2 linked regions of the Arabidopsis thaliana genome follow. The protein of the gene in region 1 interacts with the protein of each later gene in a pairwise test. Each region holds a gene or a part of one and is shown on either strand. Other genes may lie near its edges. The genes, in order: CARA and CARB.

The links.
Region 2: the proteins of CARA (region 1) and CARB interact in a two-hybrid assay, tested with the Arabidopsis thaliana proteins (one large-scale study listed by BioGRID).

What each region holds. Positions count from the first base shown.
Region 1 is NC_003074.8:10,280,614-10,285,746, reverse strand, and holds CARA (carbamoyl phosphate synthetase A), read left to right. Parts: upstream 1-1,811; 5' UTR 1,812-1,954; coding exon 1,955-2,093; intron 2,094-2,269; coding exon 2,270-2,402; intron 2,403-2,490; coding exon 2,491-2,579; intron 2,580-2,664; coding exon 2,665-2,725; intron 2,726-2,803; coding exon 2,804-2,871; intron 2,872-2,979; coding exon 2,980-3,108; intron 3,109-3,210; coding exon 3,211-3,320; intron 3,321-3,423; coding exon 3,424-3,771; intron 3,772-3,956; coding exon 3,957-4,122; intron 4,123-4,227; coding exon 4,228-4,277; 3' UTR 4,278-4,517; downstream 4,518-5,133. Other genes in the region: EMB3123 (PPR containing protein), read right to left, coding at 259-927. UniProt on the Arabidopsis thaliana protein: Small subunit of the arginine-specific carbamoyl phosphate synthase (CPSase).
Region 2 is NC_003070.9:10,465,851-10,472,841, forward strand, and holds CARB (carbamoyl phosphate synthetase B), read left to right. Parts: upstream 1-2,105; 5' UTR 2,106-2,313; coding exon 2,314-3,660; intron 3,661-3,805; coding exon 3,806-4,498; intron 4,499-4,602; coding exon 4,603-6,126; 3' UTR 6,127-6,361; downstream 6,362-6,991. Other genes in the region: RWA4 (O-acetyltransferase family protein), read left to right, coding at 82-197, 277-363, 457-545, 651-713, 797-853, 971-1,067, 1,148-1,303; CAB3 (chlorophyll A/B binding protein 3), read right to left, coding at 6,593-6,991. UniProt on the Arabidopsis thaliana protein: Large subunit of the arginine-specific carbamoyl phosphate synthase (CPSase).

The sequences.
Region 1 (5,133 bases):
ATTTTTTACCCCATATGTCTAAAATCTTCAAAACAGATCATTGTAAACGCCACAACATTTCAATGCATAAACTATTTACTTCCGATCCAATTCGCATATCGCAATGAACCATTTCGTAAATTTTTCGCTACCCGAATTGATTTCAGCTCGAACCAAATCGAAAGAACTAACCATAGCAACAGAATATAGTGCAATCTTTGCCAAAAGTGTATGAACTTAATCAAAAACCGAACCAAACCAAACCGAAAACCCGAAAATTCAAGGTTTTAGAATTGAAGATTTGAGTGAGACTTGAGAAGCCAAGTCTGGCTCTCCTAGTCTCAAGAGACCCTTACTCAAAACCTCAGCGACATACTCATCAGCCTCCCATGACTCAGACCCCCAACCACTTTCCCTCATCAAGGTATAAACCCTAACCACCGACTCTCTCCTCTCAGCTCCAACCACAGCCCTAATCAACTTAGCTAAAGCCTTATCATCACTTCTTTGATCAATTCCATCAATTTCACCAATAAGACGATCTATCTCATCGAACTCTTTATTCCTCGTAAGAGCATTAACAATGTCTGCGTATAGAACAAGGTCAAGAGGAGGATACTCTGTACGGAGAGTGGAGAGTACATGGACAGCGAGTGTGCAATAGTCTTGACGGAGAAGCTCACGGAGGACGGAGATGAGATCGGATTTTATGAGACGGCGGAGAGGACGGAGGGTAAGGGAGAGGGAGACACCGGTTCGATGAGCTCGTTTGAGAGATTGGATTGATTGGATTGCTTCGGTGCTTAGGATTCGGCCTTTGAGAAGTGGTCCGCGGTTGTCTCGTGGACCGCATCGGATCGAAACGAACGTTCTCTTAGGAACGATGACGCTAAGGGTATGGCTATGGCTAAGGCTTGGTGGTCGAGTCTGGCTGAGAGAAAGCGCCATTATTAATCACACCAATCTTTACGAGTGTGGTTGTGTGAGTGAGAGAGATGGTCTTTCATTGGGCAAGCCCATATTAATTTATAAAAGGCCCATATGTGACACAAAATTAATTAATTTATACTTTCTAATTATGCGTCGTTTATATTTCTGTTCCCGCTAATTTCTCTACACGAGTCTATCATTACACTTGCAAGAGCGACTCTATCTTCTTCTTTTTTTTCAAATTCTTGTTTCGTTAAAAAGTTAAATTTTATACCAATTTGACGACTTTATCTTCTTCTTTTTTTTTCAGATTGTTTTTTTTTTTGTTAAAAAGTTAAATTTTATACCAATTTTAATTTTTAACATAATTACAAAGATTACAAAATACATATAAAAATAATCTACAGAAAAATAAATACAACATTACTACTAAAAAAGGTTTGGATCGCTTCTAAGCAAAGAAAGCCAAGTTACAAAGAGAACCACCGAATTCGATCTTGTAAAACTTAAGAATTCGCGTGATTTTACCATATGACCTAAGTACTGGAATCTTCATATTTGTTGCCACAATTCTAACTGAAATCAGTCTTCAAAAAATCAAGATAGAATGCTAGCAACATTCTATCTTAAATCTTATATTTCTTTAACTCGTTTAATTACTAATATCCTAAAACATTTTTACCTTATTAAAATATAAATATATGATTTTTTTACTTTTATTTAACCTTATATTTATTCTATTTCGAATTTATATAAAATCTATTTATATATATAATTATTTAAATATTAAATTTAGACATATATTCGATACTTTATTCTATTTTTATAATAAACAAAACTATGATTTTCATCCCTTTTTATTTAGCAACAAAACTATGATTATGTGACCAAATTTACTAGAGAAAAAAGTCAACAAAAGTCAAAGCAAGATACTGTAATAATAACAACGAATTAATTTCAAAAAAAGAGCTATCGACCCACCAACCCTAAAAAACCTTGACGCCGTTTTCTTCTTCGATCTTCTTCTTCCTCCAGAGAAAACAACATGGCCATGGCAACAAGGACTCTAGGCTTTGTTTTGCCTACGAGCTTATCTTCCCAGCCTTCCTTCGACCGTCGCGGCGGTGGATTTAGGGTTTCTGTCATCCGTTGCTCCACTTCTCCACTCACTTTTCCCACTTCTGGTAAATTTTGCCTTCATTTCCGTTTCAAAATTGATGAAATTGTGTATTGTCTCCATTGGGTTTTAGTTCTTGAATAAAGGGTAAAGCTTGGATTTTTCGTTTGATCGAGAAAGTCTCTGTCTTAAGAATTAGTGCCAAAACCTTTTAGTGAAAGTTTTGATTTTTGCACATCGTAGGTGTTGTGGAGAAACCTTGGACTTCGTACAATGCTAGGCTTGTGTTAGAAGATGGTTCTATCTGGCCTGCTAAGTCTTTTGGTGCTCCTGGAACCCGTATTGCTGAATTGGTGTTTAACACTTCCTTGACAGGGTATGTTTTGTTCTTTGATTTCATTATATCACCTCAAAGATTGTTGATTTTAGCTTACTGAATCTTAGATTTTGTTTGTTTTTGGAAGGTATCAAGAAATTTTAACTGATCCTAGTTATGCTGGGCAGTTTGTGCTAATGACAAACCCACAAATTGGTAATACTGGTGTCAATCCTGGTAAGTGGCAGTTTCGAAACTTTCGTATACACTAGGAACTTATGTTCTCAATGTTTCTTATTACATTTGTAAATGTTTGTTGTAGATGATGAAGAATCTGGGCAATGCTTTCTTACTGGTTTGGTGATAAGAAACCTAAGCATTAGGTAAGCATTTTCCTTGATGTGTCTTTCCATTATCCTCCATTTTAATGTCCCTGACTTCTTGAATTGTGAAATGTTCAGTACCTCAAACTGGAGATGCACGAAGACACTTGCTGATTATCTAACCGAAAGGGACATCATGGGAGTTTGTAAGTTCCTTGTATTCAACATACTATTTAGATTGTGCATGAGATAAAGTTGCATTTGAAAACATCTCTGATTACTCTATTTTGGGATGTTTTTGTAAACACTATCAGATGATCTTGACACTCGAGCAATAACCCGTCGGTTAAGAGAAGATGGTAGTCTTATCGGGGTGTTGAGCACAGAACAGTCCAAAACAGATGATGAACTTCTGCAAATGTCTCGTTCATGGGATATCGTAGGTCAGATTTCTCCTGCCATTTCCTGTTTTTGGCAATTATAATATAACACTTGGAATATTGAACTCCTTCTGTCTGCTTTTTTGAATCTTTGAATCTTTGTAGGTATTGATCTAATAAGTGATGTTTCATGTAAATCTCCCTATGAATGGGTTGACAAAACAAACGCTGAATGGGATTTCAACACGAATTCACGAGATGGGAAATCCTACAAAGTGAGTATTACTTCTCTACTTTTGCTCTTATCGATGCTTTTTACTCTCTCTTTCTATACTTTTCTTACTCTCTCTTTCTATACTTTGTCTCTTGAATTCAAAGGTTATTGCTTACGATTTTGGAATCAAGCAAAACATCCTAAGACGCCTTTCATCTTACGGATGTCAAATCACTGTTGTTCCGTCCACATTTCCAGCTGCCGAGGCGCTGAAAATGAATCCAGATGGGATTTTGTTCAGCAACGGTCCTGGAGACCCTTCTGCTGTGCCATATGCTGTTGAGACAGTTAAAGAGCTTCTCGGTAAAGTCCCTGTTTACGGAATCTGTATGGGCCATCAGTTGCTTGGTCAAGCTTTGGGGGGTAAAACCTTCAAGATGAAGTTTGGTCATCATGGAGGAAACCACCCAGTTCGTAACAACAGAACTGGTCAGGTGGAGATCAGTGCTCAGGTACCAATACCCAACCTCAAAATGTTCCATTTAATTCCAAGCATACTACCAACTAAGGATTTGAACTTCCACATTCAAAGTTCGGATAATTATCTGATAAAACGACTGTGCTAGGAACATTGTTACAAGCTTGACAAAATCTAAATATGGTGTATCATTGTCTTTTTTTCTGTAATTCTTGGCAGAATCACAACTATGCGGTTGATCCAGCTTCACTTCCCGGAGGCGTAGAAGTAACACATGTCAATCTCAATGATGGAAGCTGTGCGGGTCTATCTTTCCCGGAAATGAATGTTATGTCACTCCAGTACCACCCTGAAGCCTCCCCTGGACCTCACGACTCTGATAACGGTAACTGTCCTCTTTATTCCAGTCACTTGGTGAAAGACACTTATGCTTCAGTCGTACTGAAAAACCAGAAGATTAATGTGATTATTTTTTTGCTTATGAATGCAGCATTTAGAGAGTTCATAGAGCTTATGAAGAGATCGAAACAAAGCTCCTGATCAATGAGAAGTACTCTTTGTTTTTGTACGTTGCTGTTTTTAATCATGGCACTTAAATTAAAACCAACTGTTTTGTTAGTGATAATGGATTGGCATTATTGTTTCTTTGCTTTGACTGTATTGAGCAACCATCCAACCTATAAAATAAGTAAGATTTTGTAAAAGTAATAAAGAGATAAAGAGATGTGAGAGTTTGTGTCTTTTGATATAAGAAAGCTGGGAAACTCTTGTGACTTGGGGTCAATTCTTGGAACATTTCATGATCCTCCATCCTAGTACCCTCGATAACCCCATTGGCCAGAATGAGGTTCAAATGGCTCAACGTAACAGATGATAGGAACTGATTAACACATAGCAAACAATTGGTGTTTCTAACTCTGGCTCTCTGACCTTGGAGCCTTAGAGAACAACCTTGCCGTTCTTCCTCCAATGGTCCACTAGTTGAAACTAAAGTTGTATCAATCATTTATCAGTGAATTAGGATTTACTTTGAATGCAGTTATTTAGAAATGAAAGTTATGAAAAACAAAAGAATCTGAAGCAAAAACCGGATTAAAACAGATCTAAATTTTTTTATCATTCTGTAATTTGCAAAGTATTGGCTACCGCCAAAAAACTTGTTCCCTTTTGTTTTGTATTACATGACCAAAAGTGCGTGGCGTTTTTTGTTTTTGGGATTTTTAAATTTTCGGAGAGATCCAAACTGCGTGACGTTTTGTGTTTCGGGATCTTTAGTTTTGAAATAGATCAAAACTGCGTGATGTTTTCTTATATGGGACGCAGCGTTTTCGGCCATTAACTAGTAATTTTAGCTTGCTCTTCTTCACAACAACGGCCCTTGAATTTGAATTCCGCT
Region 2 (6,991 bases), on another chromosome or scaffold:
TTCTACACAAATATTTTGGATGGCATGCTTGAATAAAAATTGGTAACTAACGTTGATATTCTGTCTTTAACACAAATACAGGGTACACAGATCCAGCTAAACCAGACCTTCCACGTCTACACGAATGGCATTTCAGATCTGGACTTGATCGCTACATATGGATCATCGGCATGATATATGCATATTTTCATCCCACTGTAATTCCAGAACCATGGTGCTTTCATTTTTTCCATATCTCCTCTCGAAAGACGCAACTAAATATATTGGGGATTTCAGGTAGAAAGATGGATGGAGAAATTGGAGGAGTGTGATGCTAAGAGAAGGATGTCAATCAAGACAAGCATAATAGGAATTTCTTCATTCGTGAGTTGTTAGCTTTTCTCGGCTTCTGGTTCATCATATATAGTCTTCTCCACAATTATTCTGATGTTTGTGTCGTGGTTTCCAAATGTTCAGGCTGGTTACCTTTGGTATGAATACATCTACAAGCTGGACAAGGTTACGTACAACAAATATCATCCCTACACATCTTGGATTCCAATAACGTCAGTACCAACAACTTTGTCTTTTCTTCATTTTCATGGTTCATGCTAAATCTTGAGATAATATGCTTTCTTGATTTATGACCTTTGGTTTTAAATCTGGAACAGTGTCTACATCTGTCTGCGAAATTGCACCCAACAGCTACGGAGATTTTCCCTGACACTCTTTGCGTAAGATTCTCAATCTCTTAATTCCTTATTGTTACCTTCTTGTTCACAGTGCACACAGCTTTTTGACCATGATCTCTCTCTAGGTGGCTGGGCAAGATAACTCTCGAGACCTACATTTCACAGTTTCACATCTGGTTAAGGTTAGTGGGATCTACAAATCGAAGCATATGTTATTATAAAGAAACTTCACAATGTGGTTAGTGAAGCCTTTATGGTTAACATATGTTAGTATAACAATAATTCTCAATGTGGTGCAGATCGAGTGTGCCAAATGGGCAGCCAAAGTTGCTATTATCAATCATCCCAGAATACCCAATGCTCAACTTCATGCTCACCACGGCCATCTACGTCTTGGTAAAAAAGCATCGGTAAAACCATTCTATGCTTTTATCGTTTTATTACTTCTTACACTTTTTTTTTCCTTCTTCATTCAGGTATCTGTTCGACTTTTCGAGCTAACCAATACATTAAAATCAGTTTTCATACCCACGAAAGACGACAAACGGCTGCTCCACAACGTGATTGCTATGGCTGCGATATCATTTTGTTTATATATTATCGGTCTTATTCTTCTCTTGATCCCACATTAACTTTTGTACTAGTCCCTGATCCCTTATTGTCCAGTTGCACCATTATCAAAAAGGATGACGACTCTGAACAAATGTTTCCATTACAGAAGAGACGTCACAAACCTGAGAAACACAAAGTTAAAGTTAGTTGCACAGAGAAAAAAGCTTTTACTACTATATCAAACGTGCAAACACATATAATACTACTATATACAGTTAAAAAGATTGATTCTATAGAGAAGGACATGCGGTACTAGAAAAGTTTGCAGTTTAAGGAAACCTTACCAGATGCGACTGTTATATATAGTACATTATCTGTTTAATCTACTGTAAAGTCAGCAGAAGAGTTGATGATCTGAGCGAAAGCAAAAGCAGTAAGTACCTGCGACCGCATTGACTACAAAATAAATGCGGTAATTAGTTTTGTAATTCGTTGACTTTCTTATTTACTCATTTTAAAACCGATTTGGAATATATACTATATTTAAAAGTCATATAGAGTATAACTTTAATAACATGACACGAATAACATTTGTTTTTAATGAAATAAATCTATATCAAATAATATTTATTGGATTTACTACCAATAAAACTCCATTCATTATAACACCATTTTATATTTTAAACACTCTTGAATAAAACAATAATATTCTAATTTCCAAAAATTTAATTATTTTTTTAAACCAGAGACATAATATCTATCATATTATGGATACGATTCCATAAATGACGAAATGATACATTCTAACCAAAAAAAAAAAAATCATTTCTCTTTGCAACTTTTTGGAAGAGTTAATTATCTTTTTATGTCATTTATCATATTTTCCCAATAATTGTTGTTGAAAAAATGGATTGTCATAATCAAATACAGCAGGATTGAGAAAGACAAAATAAATACCAAACCGGAATAATCCAAATTTCGAGAAACCCTAAAACCCTCTCTCTCGTGTCTCACTCTCTTCTGCAGCAGTCTCCAGTTACAGAGCCGACACAGGCAAAACTTAGAAGAAGAAGAAGAAGAAGAAGCAAAAATGAGAAACCATTGCTTAGAACTCTCTTCCAATTGTTCCTCCATTTTCGCTTCTTCCAAATCCAATCCTCGTTTCTCTCCTTCCAAGCTCTCCTATTCCACTTTCTTCTCTCGCTCTGCCATCTATTACAGATCAAAACCAAAACAAGCCTCGTCTTCTTCTTCCTTCTCCACTTTCCCCCCATGTCTCAATCGGAAAAGCTCCCTCACGCATGTTCTCAAACCCGTCTCAGAGCTCGCCGACACCACTACCAAGCCTTTTTCTCCGGAGATCGTCGGCAAGAGAACCGATCTGAAGAAGATTATGATTCTCGGCGCTGGTCCGATTGTCATTGGACAAGCTTGTGAGTTTGATTACTCTGGTACTCAAGCTTGTAAAGCCTTAAGAGAAGAGGGCTATGAGGTTATCCTGATCAATTCGAATCCTGCCACTATCATGACTGATCCGGAAACTGCTAATCGGACTTATATCGCTCCGATGACTCCTGAGCTTGTCGAGCAGGTTATTGAGAAAGAGAGGCCTGACGCTTTGTTACCAACCATGGGTGGTCAAACCGCATTGAACCTCGCGGTTGCTCTTGCTGAGAGTGGTGCTTTGGAGAAATACGGTGTTGAATTGATAGGAGCTAAGCTTGGTGCGATTAAGAAAGCTGAAGATCGTGAGTTGTTCAAGGATGCGATGAAGAACATTGGGCTAAAGACTCCACCTTCAGGGATTGGGACCACTCTTGATGAGTGTTTTGACATTGCTGAGAAAATTGGTGAGTTCCCTTTGATTATCCGTCCTGCGTTTACTTTAGGTGGTACTGGTGGTGGAATTGCGTATAACAAAGAGGAGTTTGAGTCTATATGTAAATCGGGTTTGGCTGCGAGTGCGACAAGTCAAGTTCTTGTGGAGAAATCCTTGTTGGGTTGGAAAGAATATGAGCTTGAGGTGATGAGAGACTTAGCTGACAATGTTGTCATTATCTGTTCCATTGAGAATATTGATCCTATGGGTGTGCACACTGGTGATTCCATCACTGTGGCACCTGCACAGACTCTAACGGATAGAGAGTACCAGCGGCTTAGGGATTATTCCATTGCGATTATACGGGAGATTGGTGTTGAGTGTGGTGGATCTAATGTGCAGTTTGCTGTCAACCCGGTTGATGGTGAAGTTATGATCATAGAGATGAACCCTAGGGTCTCAAGATCTTCTGCTCTTGCTTCCAAGGCTACAGGGTTTCCCATTGCTAAAATGGCTGCCAAGTTGTCTGTTGGCTATACCTTGGATCAGATTCCTAATGATATCACGAGGAAAACACCGGCTAGCTTCGAGCCCTCCATCGATTATGTGGTGACTAAGGTTTGTCATTCCATACTTTTGGCTTTATTTGTGTTGCGAAATGAGATACGCTTGACTTTGAAGATTTACACACATCTATCCACTTCATGATATATAAACTCAAATGCATATTTTGCTTAACGATATCTATTTCTTTACCATGCAGATTCCTCGATTTGCATTTGAAAAGTTTCCAGGATCTCAGCCATTGCTAACGACCCAGATGAAATCTGTTGGGGAATCTATGGCTCTCGGCCGTACATTCCAAGAATCTTTCCAGAAAGCTCTGAGGTCTCTGGAGTGTGGATTCTCGGGTTGGGGTTGTGCAAAAATTAAAGAGCTAGATTGGGACTGGGATCAGCTGAAATACAGCCTAAGAGTCCCAAATCCTGACAGGATCCATGCGATATATGCTGCCATGAAAAAGGGTATGAAAATTGATGAAATCTACGAGTTGAGCATGGTGGACAAGTGGTTCCTAACCCAGCTTAAAGAGCTCGTGGACGTCGAACAGTATCTTATGTCCGGAACCTTGTCAGAGATTACAAAAGAAGACCTTTACGAAGTCAAAAAGCGGGGATTTAGTGACAAGCAAATCGCTTTTGCTACAAAGACAACCGAGGAAGAAGTCCGTACCAAGCGGATTTCTCTAGGAGTTGTTCCATCTTACAAGAGAGTGGATACATGTGCTGCAGAGTTCGAAGCGCATACACCATACATGTACTCTTCATATGATGTTGAATGTGAATCAGCTCCAAACAACAAGAAGAAGGTTTTGATTTTGGGTGGAGGGCCAAACCGCATTGGTCAAGGGATTGAATTTGATTACTGTTGTTGCCACACATCTTTCGCCTTACAGGTATGTCTTTAGACAATCTAAGCGTCTCTCCCAAAAGCCAGTAAACATTGTTTCAACTTTTTTATGCTAAACTTACTTATCTACTTTTTTTAATTTATTTGCAGGATGCTGGATATGAGACCATAATGTTGAACTCAAATCCTGAAACAGTATCCACAGATTATGATACAAGCGATAGGCTCTATTTTGAACCTCTCACAATCGAGGATGTTCTCAATGTTATCGACCTTGAGAAACCTGATGGCATAATAGTGCAATTTGGTGGTCAAACTCCTCTGAAACTTGCTCTGCCGATCAAACATTATTTGGATAAGCACATGCCCATGAGCTTGAGCGGAGCGGGACCTGTTCGCATCTGGGGTACATCACCTGACTCCATTGACGCTGCTGAAGACAGAGAGAGGTTCAATGCAATTCTCGACGAGCTGAAGATTGAGCAGCCCAAGGGAGGCATTGCAAAGAGCGAAGCTGATGCATTAGCCATAGCAAAGGAGGTAGGGTACCCAGTTGTGGTAAGACCTTCTTATGTTCTAGGTGGACGAGCAATGGAGATCGTTTATGATGACAGTAGACTAATAACCTATTTGGAAAATGCGGTACAAGTTGACCCAGAGAGACCTGTTTTGGTAGATAAATATCTTTCTGATGCCATTGAGATCGACGTTGATACCCTTACTGATTCCTATGGAAATGTGGTGATTGGTGGAATAATGGAGCATATCGAACAAGCTGGTGTGCATTCTGGTGACTCAGCTTGTATGCTTCCAACACAAACCATCCCAGCTTCTTGTTTGCAAACTATTCGAACATGGACCACTAAGCTGGCGAAGAAGCTAAATGTATGTGGGCTGATGAACTGTCAGTACGCAATCACAACATCTGGGGATGTTTTTTTGCTGGAAGCCAATCCCCGAGCTTCCCGTACTGTCCCTTTTGTGTCAAAAGCCATTGGACACCCTCTTGCCAAGTATGCAGCGCTGGTCATGTCGGGCAAATCTCTCAAAGATCTTAACTTTGAAAAAGAAGTTATCCCTAAACATGTCTCTGTGAAAGAAGCTGTTTTCCCGTTTGAGAAGTTCCAAGGATGCGATGTGATACTCGGGCCAGAGATGAGAAGCACAGGAGAAGTGATGAGCATCAGTTCTGAATTCTCAAGTGCGTTTGCAATGGCTCAGATCGCTGCAGGTCAAAAGCTACCTCTATCAGGCACAGTCTTCCTCAGCTTAAACGATATGACCAAACCGCACCTGGAGAAAATCGCGGTGTCCTTCCTCGAGCTTGGGTTCAAAATAGTTGCCACCTCGGGAACAGCTCATTTCCTGGAACTGAAAGGCATTCCAGTGGAGAGAGTGTTGAAGTTGCATGAAGGAAGACCACATGCTGCTGATATGGTGGCGAATGGTCAGATCCATTTGATGTTGATCACAAGCTCGGGTGATGCTCTTGATCAGAAAGATGGGAGACAGCTCAGACAAATGGCTCTAGCATACAAGGTACCTGTTATAACCACTGTTGCTGGTGCATTGGCCACTGCTGAGGGAATCAAGAGCTTGAAGTCAAGTGCCATTAAAATGACCGCTCTTCAGGACTTCTTTGAGGTAAAGAATGTATCTTCTTTGCTCGTCTGAGTTAGTTTTTTTGTTGTGTGTTGATCGTTTGTGTGGAACTTTTTTACGATAAATTTTAACGGATTTTGTTACCCATAAGCATTTCTATGAATAATCTTCGAAAATGCAGCAAACTTGTGATTTATCAATCGGCTTTGTTCCTTTAATTCAGATATACACAAGCCTTTGATTGTATCAGGTCATGTAACGCTTGGCTTAAACTCGAGTTATGTTCTATAAGATTGTGCAATTGTAGAAACAGCCTCTTCATTTGAGCGAACCCAAGAACATTCCATTTGAATTTTAGTTAATACGAGACTAGTATGAGAGAAAATTGAGTTTGATTAATGACAAATCATACAAAGTCTTGCAAATTTACATCTGAAAGTCTCAAACCATCACATACAACCTTCTCTTTCTCCTCATGTCTCTCACTCGAATTCAAAAGACTGAAAGAAAAGCAAAATACAAACTGATAAAACTTGGCTCACTTTCCGGGAACAAAGTTGGTTGCGAAGGCCCATGCGTTGTTGTTGACTGGATCGGCCAAATGGTCAGCAAGGTTCTCTATCGGTCCCTTACCAGTGACAATGGCTTGAACGAAGAATCCAAACATAGAGAACATAGCCAATCTTCCGTTCTTGAGCTCCTTCACCTTCAACTCCGCGAAAGCCTCTGGGTCGGTAGCAAGACCCAATGGGTCGAAGCTGCCACCGGGGTAAAGCAAGTCCTCGGCCTCTCCCAACGGCCCATTTCCTGCGACTCTGTAGCCTTCAACAGCTCCCATCAAGATAACTTGAGTGGCCCAAATGGCCAAAATGCTCTGAGCGTGGACCAAGCTAGGGTTTCCCAAGTAATCGAGTCCTCCATCGCTAAAGATCTGTGA